Linked DNA regions of Sus scrofa. The protein of the gene in region 2 interacts with the protein of the main gene of each other region in a pairwise test. Links are inferred from orthologs where the notes say so. Each region holds a gene or a part of one and is shown on either strand. Other genes may lie near its edges. The genes, in order: LGALS3 and PRR13.

Region 1 (4,364 bases), on a different chromosome or scaffold from region 2:
CCTGGTTTGGGCTGACCTTTGGCTGGTGCTCTCCTTGCCCAACCTTAAAAAGCCAGAGTTGTCTCTGACTCCTAAAACTTAACCATGAGATCCCGGGGTTCTTCTGCTGCAATCTCTCCCCATCCACCTCTTCCTAAGACTTAACCACTAGATCCTGGGGTTTTTTTCTCTGCAATCTCTCCCCATCCACCTCTTCCTTTCCACAGCCTCCCTTGTCCCCTTGCCTCAGCTGACTACATGTCTTTGGTCCAAGCTCTGCTCAAAGTCTCCCATGCCCCCAGCGCTCTCTCTTCTCTCCTCTAAGCTGACCTACAAGCAGATCAAATGCTTCCTGTGCCATCATAGTGGGATCACATCCTGAAAGGGGCTGATCCCACTCTACTATTGAACTATTTCCTCATATTAGTACATTTTCTCCCAACTAGACTATCTAGAAGGGAAGGATCTGTGTCTGAGATGTGTCTGGGATCCCACAGAGTTATATTTTTATGCTTACAATTGATTTATTAAAATGGGTTTTACTATAAAATGAAAATTCAACCCTTAGATCACAAAATTCTCTTTAGAAGGTTTTTAAAAATGAGATTACCATGGGTCCTTCAAAGGGTCCCTCTAAGGCCATGGAAATGTGGTTTAACTCTTTATTGTACCATTTCTTCATTTTGTAAAGTGGTTTTAACAATAGTATTTTATGGGGAGCTTATGGGATTGAATGAGATCATCCATGAAGAGGTACACAGCTGGCACGTTACGTACCCAGTGTTTATTAACAATAGTAACAACCCACACCTCCCCCATTTCTATGACCTTAACTTGATTTATATTAAAGCTGCTTTACAGATGCCTTCAAAAGATACATTAGCTCCTCTTTGTACTAACAGTCCACATGCTTAAACTCAACAGGAACAACAGTCTTTTCTACTGGACCAACATACACTGTGGCTGGTGGTTGCACAGCGGTTCTAGGCAGTGAGATGAAAGCTTCAAGTCTCCCTGAAGCCCTTTGCAGGTCAGGGCCCAGGGAGCACTGCAAAGTGATGGCACCACCACCTCAGACAATTGCTACATTCTTCATTAGCTATGTCCCTATCACTATATCCAGGTGTGTGAAATGACCAATTCCTCTTACCAGTGGTCCAGAAGGGGCACCATAGGGGCCAGTGGCAGGGTAGGCTCCAGGAGCACTTGGCTGTGCAGGAGGCGGGTAGGCGCCAGGCCCACCTGGTTGCCCAGGGTAGGCTCCTGGTGCGGCTGGGCCAGGATAACCAGGTGCTGTTGGGCCAGGGTAGGCCCCTGGAGGTGCCTGTCCAGGGTAGGCGCCAGGAGGTGCCTGTCCAGGGTAGGCACCAGGAGGCCCCTGCCCAGGGTAGGTGCCAGGATAGGAAGCCCCTGGATAGCCTCCTGGCCCAGCAGGCTGGTTTCCCCATGCACCAGGCCATCCTTGAGGGTTTGGTTTTCCAGACCCGGATAAAGCATCGTTAAGCTGGAAAGAAAGACATAAACCATTACAGGATGAAAAACACAAAAACAGAATTTTCAGGTAAATAGGAATATGTAATCTAAGAATTAGAAGGATAGGGTGAAGCTATGAACTTCCTATGAATAAAATTTCCCCACCTATTCACTGAGTTCCTAAGACTAAAATTAGACTTTGGGATTATACCTGCTTTATCACTTTATTCTTGCCTCCCATCATCTCAGATCATTAGGGTTGCCTTTTCCTAAGTTGCTGAAGTTGGGAGCTAGCCATCCTCTATGTAAAAGCACATATGTTCTCACTGACATGAGGAAAATAATCACAAAATCAGGATGCTCTTGGGCTGCAAGAGCTCCACCCAGCTGGCCCTGGTTGCCTTGACCTTCCCATTGCTGGGTGTCTGCTGCACGACTCCAGCTAATGAGTGGCATCCAGGATAGAACTGGAGAAGCTGCCTTGTGCACAGGGAGGGGCCTGGGAAATAGAGTCATAAGATTTGGTTTGAAATCCAGTGCCATCCATCAAGACCTCCGAAGGCTTGGAGACATCATGTTACCTGGATAGAACTTAAGTGTCTTTGTTTGTAAAATGGGAGTAATGATCTCTTTCACGAAATTACTGGGATGAACAAGTGAGGCAGCATCTGGGAGGACTCCGTATAGACTGCAAGGTGCTGGGCCAGTGTTCGTTGGTGTCCTTTCTCTCCAGGAAGAGACACTGCCTTCTCCCTTCCTGTCTCCTATGGTATTTAGCAGAGTAATGTGGTATTTACGTGATACTCAGTAAAGATTGCTGTGTTGATTGAGTATCATCCATTAGGATTGTCTGATCTTTTGTGTTCTGGGGTTTTTTTGTTTTCTTTTTTGGCCATGCCCATGGCATGCAGGAGTTCCCGGACCAAGGATTGAAACCACACCACAGCAGTGACAATGCCAGATCCTTAACCCACTGTGCCACCTAGGAACTCTGACAGTCTGAACCTTTGATGCATTAGGAATCCAAGCCCAGACCTGGTATTAGAACAACAAGCCGAGGCTGTAAAGGGAGCCCAGGGGCCTGGGGGAAGGGGAGAGAAAATCAGAGGGCTTGATGAGGAAACGTAAACTGGATTTAGGAAAATAGACTCATGGCTGTAGGTGGGGTGAGTCATTCTGTTAATTTGGGAATACTAATGGGAATTTATTTTGACTGCTTCTTAGTTCAGCATTTGGGAAGGGAGGAGGGGTAGAGGGCACCACAGTATTAAAGAAAAAAATCAGGATGCTGAGACAGCCCATTGCTCAGTGGATTTCTTAGCTCCTGCCAGCAGAATCCACCCGCTTCTGTCCTAGGCAGTTCAGTAAAGGGGTTACTGTTAGTGAGGCCCAGGCCTCTCTGCCTGGCTTTCTTCCTGAATTTGTTGCTGGAAAAACACAACTCCAGCTAACGAGTGGTGGGAGAGTTAGATGGAAACTCTGGTGACTAAAAAGAAAAAGAAAAACAAACAAAACAAAACCCTCAACCTGCATGAATGTCTACACATGAAGGTAGGAAAACAGACATAAGACACTTACCGAAAAACCGTCTGCCATTCTCCTAAAAGGAGAAGGAAAAAAAAAAAAAAAAGAGCCACAGGTTATCATTTGATCCTGAAAGATTTTTGGTTTCTGCCTGAATAACGTCACAAACAGCTCACTAAGCAGGACTAGTCCATCTACAGGGATTCTAACACAAGCCAGTCTAGTCCCCAAATACACCTAAGTCAGTAGTGGGGAGCCACAAAAATGTCTCATTTCATCGTGGGGCGGGGTCGTGCTCTGCCTGGATTGCCACACCCTATTTAACTCAGAACTAAACTCTAATCACAAGAGCCTGTGGCCTGAATCACGGGAGTAACAGCCATGCTCTGCTGCCGGTGGGAGGGAAGGAGTGAAAGTAAACAGTTTCCTAGGTAATACGTGTTTGTCCTGGTTGTCTTTGGTCCCCCTTCACCTTCCTTCCTGTGCTCTCTTTCCACCACCTCCTAAAAAGTGTTCAGTGCATTAATATCACCCACCGCCCACTCCCCTGGTGAACAAAAGCCAGGGTTCCCGTGCCCTCCCCTGGGATTTAGGAGGAAAGCAGTTGGTTGATTCCTATATTCCCCACTTTCCCCCCACAAGACGTAGTTGCTGCTGTTGGTTTAGTCCTTCATTTGCATACATTTATGTCTCTTGTGGGCTCCTAACTGGGTTTGAAGATGGAGGCAGTCAACATGTATGGTCCCTTCACAGGCCAGACGAGGTGAAAGTGATTGACCCTGTGGGCCAGACCACATGCCATGGGAAGTCACAACTGGAAAGATTACTTCCAACAGGGAAAGGACAGTGTTGTTTGAGCTAAGCCTTGAAGGAAAGGTGAGACTGTTATGTGGAGCAATAAAGAGGAAAGATGGGCACAAGTTGCTTTTTTTCTTTTTTAAAAAAATAGTTGTTATTTCAAATGAAATCTCTCACAGTAAAATGAATGAAATTAAAAAAAAAAAAAGGTCAGACGATGCAGAGGAAACCATTTTGGGTAGGATGTTACAAAAGAGGGTCAGCCTTGCCCAACGTTGCCCCAAAGGGTAGCAGCGCTGATCCTGTCCACTGTCCCCACCCTCATGCCAAGGTGCCAAGTCCCCAACCAAACAGGATGTTTTACACCTGCTCTCACTGCTGGTGTTCTAGTGATGAGGGCAGAAGGGCAGCTTTGGACTCCTCAGGCCTGAATGAGTTGTCTTGACTCAAGATCAGCTGGGTATGGCCAAAATTACCCGGATCTTAAAACTATCAGAATCTTTTTCCTTAAGTGGCTTACTTGCCATAGTTCTGTTATTTGAAGAAACGAACCAATAAATGGTGGCTACTTGATGGGTTCTTAGGTTCCT
Region 2 (4,536 bases):
ACCAGGACTAGCACCCAAAGCCATACATAAGGCAAAAAAATTTGCTAAGCAGGAGTTCCTGTAGTGGCGCAGTGGTTAACGAATCCGACTAGGAACCATGAGGTTGAGGGTTCGGTCCCTGCCCTTGCTCAGTGGGTTAATGATCCGGCGTTGCCGTGAGCTATGGTGTAAGTTGCAGACTTGGCTCAGATCCCGCGTTGTTGTGGCTCTGGCGTAGGCCAGTGGCTACAGCTCCGATTCAACCCCTAGCCTGGGAACCTCCAAATGCCGCGGAAGCGGCCCAAGAAGTAGCAACAACAACAAAAAAGACAAAAAGACAAAAAAAAAAAAAAAAAAAAAAAAAATTTGCTAAGCAGAAAAATGTAAATTAAGGCCTCCTTAAGATCAAGGTTGCCCTAAAAATTAAAAAAAAAAAAAAAGAAGAAGAAGGGGGAAAAAAGGGAGTTCCTGTTGTGACTCAGCAGTAACAAACCCAACTAGAATCCATGAGGATTCGGGCTCAATCCCTGGCCTCACTCAGTGGGTTAGGGATCCAGCGTTGCTGTGAGCTGCGCTGTAGGCTGCAGACACCACTTGCACCTAGCATGGCTGTGGCTGTGGTGCCTGATTCAACCCCTAGCCTGGGAACTTCCATATGCCTCAGGTGTGGCCCTAAAAATTTTTTTTAAATATCTCAAGGTTGGTTCAATTCTTCCAGAGTTGGTTCTGAGAGCTACTTTTACTACTTGGTCCTGAGAGCTACTTGCTAATTTACACTCCTCTGGCATGAAGATACTTAGCCTGAGACTGAGCACGAAATTGAGGGTTTTATTGGAGCCTGAGTCACTGACTGCTCTTGTCCTCAGTTTCCCTGCTGGACAAGAAGACCTACGTAATTAATACAACAAGCTGAGAACAGTGAAGGAGAGAAAGAAATTCCAGGAACTAGGACCAGATTATTATCTATCATTACATAAGACTTTGCTTGGCCAAAGGTCTTGACATTTGACCACCTCAGTGGGTGTGTCCCACTTGCCAGAACAAGCATGGGGGTGGGGAGGCCAAAGCTCTGGGAAAAGAAAGGCAAAAAAGAAAAGCACCTGATTCTGATAGCCATTCTAAGGCTCAACATAGCCCCTGGCAGACAGAAGGCCCAATTAGCCTAATAATTATTTTCAAGATTATTAAATTCTTCGCAGTGGGAATCCTTTACAAAAAGGAAGCACCATCTGCCAGAGTAACACAATGCCCTGTCCCAAGTCCTCAGACTGTGAATCCCCATTCCTTGTCCCTGCCACCTACCTCTCTTCCCACCTCCAGCCACCCTAGTCCTTCTGAGGGGGCACCTCTTCCTAGCCAGGCTCCAGAGGGCACTGACCTTGCCATGCTTGTGGTGTTTGTGCTTCTTTTTATGAGCTTTCTTCATTTTCTTCTTCATCTTCTTGTCCATCACCATGCCTGGTCCTACCATGCCAGGAGCCAATGGATTCACAGGTGGCATGCAAGGGGCAGGTGGTGGGTAGGGACCTGAGGGCTGGCATCCTGGATGCCCTGGCTGTGGCACAGGATAACAAGGCCCGCCAGGGGGAAAAGCTGGATTCCCCTGGGGCACTCCTGGAGGAGTGGGAAGGGGGCCTGGAGGAAAGGGAGGGTTGGCAGATGGTGGATGGGTAGGATGGCAACCTCCAGGGTATCCAACGTTAGGCGGGTAAGGATTTGGCCCTGGCTGCCCTGGTGGAAAAAGCAAAGAATAAATTTAAGATTAGAACTGCCCAGAGCTTCTGACAACAAACAACAAAAAGAAGGGGATTCCATTTTTCACTCAATACTTAAAGGAAAATGGAGGAGTTCCTGTAGTGGCTCAGTGGTTAACGAATCCCACTAGGAACCATGAGGTTGTGGGTTCGATCCCTGGCCTCGCTCAGTGGGTTAAGGAACTGCAGTGAACTGTGGTGTAGGTCGCAGACGCGGCTCGGATCCCGCGTTGCTGTGGCTGTGGCGCAGTTGCAGCTACAGCTCCGATTGGACCGCTAGCCTGGGAACCTCCATATGCCGCAGGTGTGGCCCTAGGGGGGAAAAAATGTAAAGCTGAAGAAAGAGGAGCATGGAGGGGAGGGGAGACAAACCTATACAAGAGAAAGAAAAGGTAACGTTCCCTGGAGACAGTGAACTCTGGGGGAAGACACTGGGCAGCTATGGACTTTGCTTTTTTGTAGGTTAGGGCAGAGGTGGAGGAGAAACGGACACAAACTTCCTGTTGTGGCCCATCCGAAAAGGGACTGGGGCAGGAGAAGAGATTCTCCCCAAACACTTACCGGCATTGGGATTCCACATGTTCAGGGGTTTTCACCAGCCTGAGGAGAAAGAAATGAAGGTTAAAAGCTGACGGCCCAGAAGTGGGTGGGTGATTTAGACACCAAGCCCAACTTCAACGCCTCCTGCCCCACTGTAGGCTCCCAGGGAACTAACAGGTTCGCTACATAAGAAATGTCTCCTTCCACCCGCTCCTTCGCCCCCAATACCTAGTTTCCCTCCACCTTCCACTCGCTCTGGCTGCGGATTCTAACTCCTCGGGAGAGGGGCTGAGTGCGCGAATCTCGCTATCCCCATCACTCCTCTCCCTTTCCTTGACCGAGCCCGGAAGACTTTAACCACCATAGGCTGCGGAGGGATCTGAAACAACTTCACCATCCCCAAGGATGGGTGACGGGAGACAGGACCCCGCACCCCAGGCTAACAGAAGGACCTGCCTGGAGGCGAAAGGAGGTAAGGCAGCTCAGGAAAGATCCTCAAACGCTTATATAGTTAGACACACCCTCTTACCCTTTAAAAAAGGCAAGTGGAGACCCCGGCTCCCCAGCAACGAAGGGGCGTCTCACCCAGGAATGGAGAAAGAAAGGAACAGAATACTGACGTCCCGTCAGCTTTATACCACCGCCTGGGCGGAGGCGTCCTCCGCAGCCTCCACTCTCACTTCCCGATCACCCTCTCACGTTAGGCTTTGGCATCCGCCTCTGCTGCCTCCGAATTGGTAATATAACAACATTGGGCTTTAGGATTGGAGAACATGCTCGTCAATCACTCTAGTCCCCACTAGGCTAAAAGGCAATGGTTGCAGTGGGGGCGGAGCTGGGCGCTCTGGGGTGAGGCCGGTGCAGAGGGCGAGCGGGCCGGAAATGCCTGGGGGCGGGGCTATGGGTGGGCGGGGCCAGCTTCAGAGCAAGTTCGTGAGTACCTAGAGGAAATTCAACCCTTGACCTCTGAGCTCTTAGTCCAGTGGGTGCCACACCTTATAAAGTAAATATACCATGATAAATGTTGTACAGATATATATACACAGCTTAAGGAAGGGCGGGGAGCTGCCGATATTCACCCTAAAACTCAATATTGCCGCCTCTGTCAGCGTCCATAGAAAGTAAAGAAACATTCTTGGGAGAAATACAGAGATTTCTAATCTCTCCTAGGATTCCCTGTATCAACTACATAGCTCCGCCATCTGTCGAATTGCACAAAGCAGAAACGCCGGAGGTGATCCTTGATGGCTCTCTCCTTCACCTTCCCCTCTTCCCGCTCCAGCATCGGGAAGGGTCCGTTTGTTTCACGAATAAATCTGAAATTTCTCTACTTCTCTTCAATCTTCTCTGCTTCCAGCCTACCATCATATCTCAACGGGAATGCTGCAATGGCCTCTTCTTCTTTTTTTTTTTTTTTTTTTTTGGCCTCATTCACCACATATGGAAGTTCCCAAGCCAGGAGTCAACACTTGCCATAGCAGTGACCCAAGCTGCTGCAGTGACAACCTGGGATCCTTAACCTCCTGTGCCACAAGGGAACTCCATTCTTTTTTCTGAAGGAAGTACTAAATAATATGCCACTATTTGGATATTCCACATTTAGTTTATCCATTCATTAACTGATGGACATTTGAATTGTTTTTATGTTTTGCCTATTATGAATATTGCTGCTATGAACATTCGTGTACAAGTTTGTGCATAATCATAGGTGTGACCGTGTTTTCTTTTTTTATTTCAGCATAGAAATTTATTTAAATTCGAAATTACATGGTTAGGAGTTCCTGCACGGTTCACTGGGTTAAGAACTGGACTACTGGAGTTCCCGTCGTGGCTCCGTGGTTAACGAATCTGACTAGAAACCATGAGGTTGTGGGTTCGATCCCCGGCTTTGCTCAGTGGGTTAAGGATCCAGCATTGCCATGAGCTGTGGTGTAGGTCTCAGATACAGCTCGGATCCCACGTTGCTGTGGCTCTGGCATAGGCTGGTGGCTACAGCTCCCATTCAACCCCTAGCCTGGGACCCTCCATATGCCGTGGGAGCGGCCCAGGAAATGGCAAAAAGACAAAAAAAAAAAAAAAAAAAAAAAAAAAGAACTGGACTACTACCCATGAGAATGTGGGTTTCCCTGGCCCCATGCAGTGGGTTAAGGATCTGGTGTTGACATGAGCTATGGTGTAGGTTGAAGATGGGGCTTATATCCTGCATTGCTGTGGCTGTGGTATAGGCCAGCAGCTGCAGTTCCACCCCTAGCCCAGGAACTTC

Evidence for each region.
Region 1: the proteins of PRR13 (region 2) and LGALS3 interact in binary tests that used the Homo sapiens proteins (3 or more experiments, as listed by UniProt). The two-hybrid records come from large-scale screens. The link is inferred for Sus scrofa from reciprocal best matches to the Homo sapiens genes PRR13 and LGALS3.

What each region holds. Positions count from the first base shown.
Region 1 is NC_010443.5:184,484,816-184,489,179, reverse strand, and holds the start of LGALS3 (galectin-3), read right to left. Parts: upstream 3,054-4,364; 5' UTR 3,049-3,053; coding exon 3,031-3,048; intron 1,484-3,030; coding exon 1,130-1,483; intron 1-1,129. UniProt on the Homo sapiens protein: Galactose-specific lectin which binds IgE. May mediate with the alpha-3, beta-1 integrin the stimulation by CSPG4 of endothelial cells migration.
Region 2 is NC_010447.5:18,659,301-18,663,836, reverse strand, and holds the start of PRR13 (proline-rich protein 13), read right to left. Parts: upstream 3,024-4,536; 5' UTR 2,803-3,023; intron 2,747-2,802; exon of another isoform or gene 2,502-2,746; intron 2,334-2,501; 5' UTR 2,314-2,333; coding exon 2,295-2,313; intron 1,711-2,294; coding exon 1,282-1,710; intron 1-1,281. UniProt on the Homo sapiens protein: Negatively regulates TSP1 expression at the level of transcription. This down-regulation was shown to reduce taxane-induced apoptosis.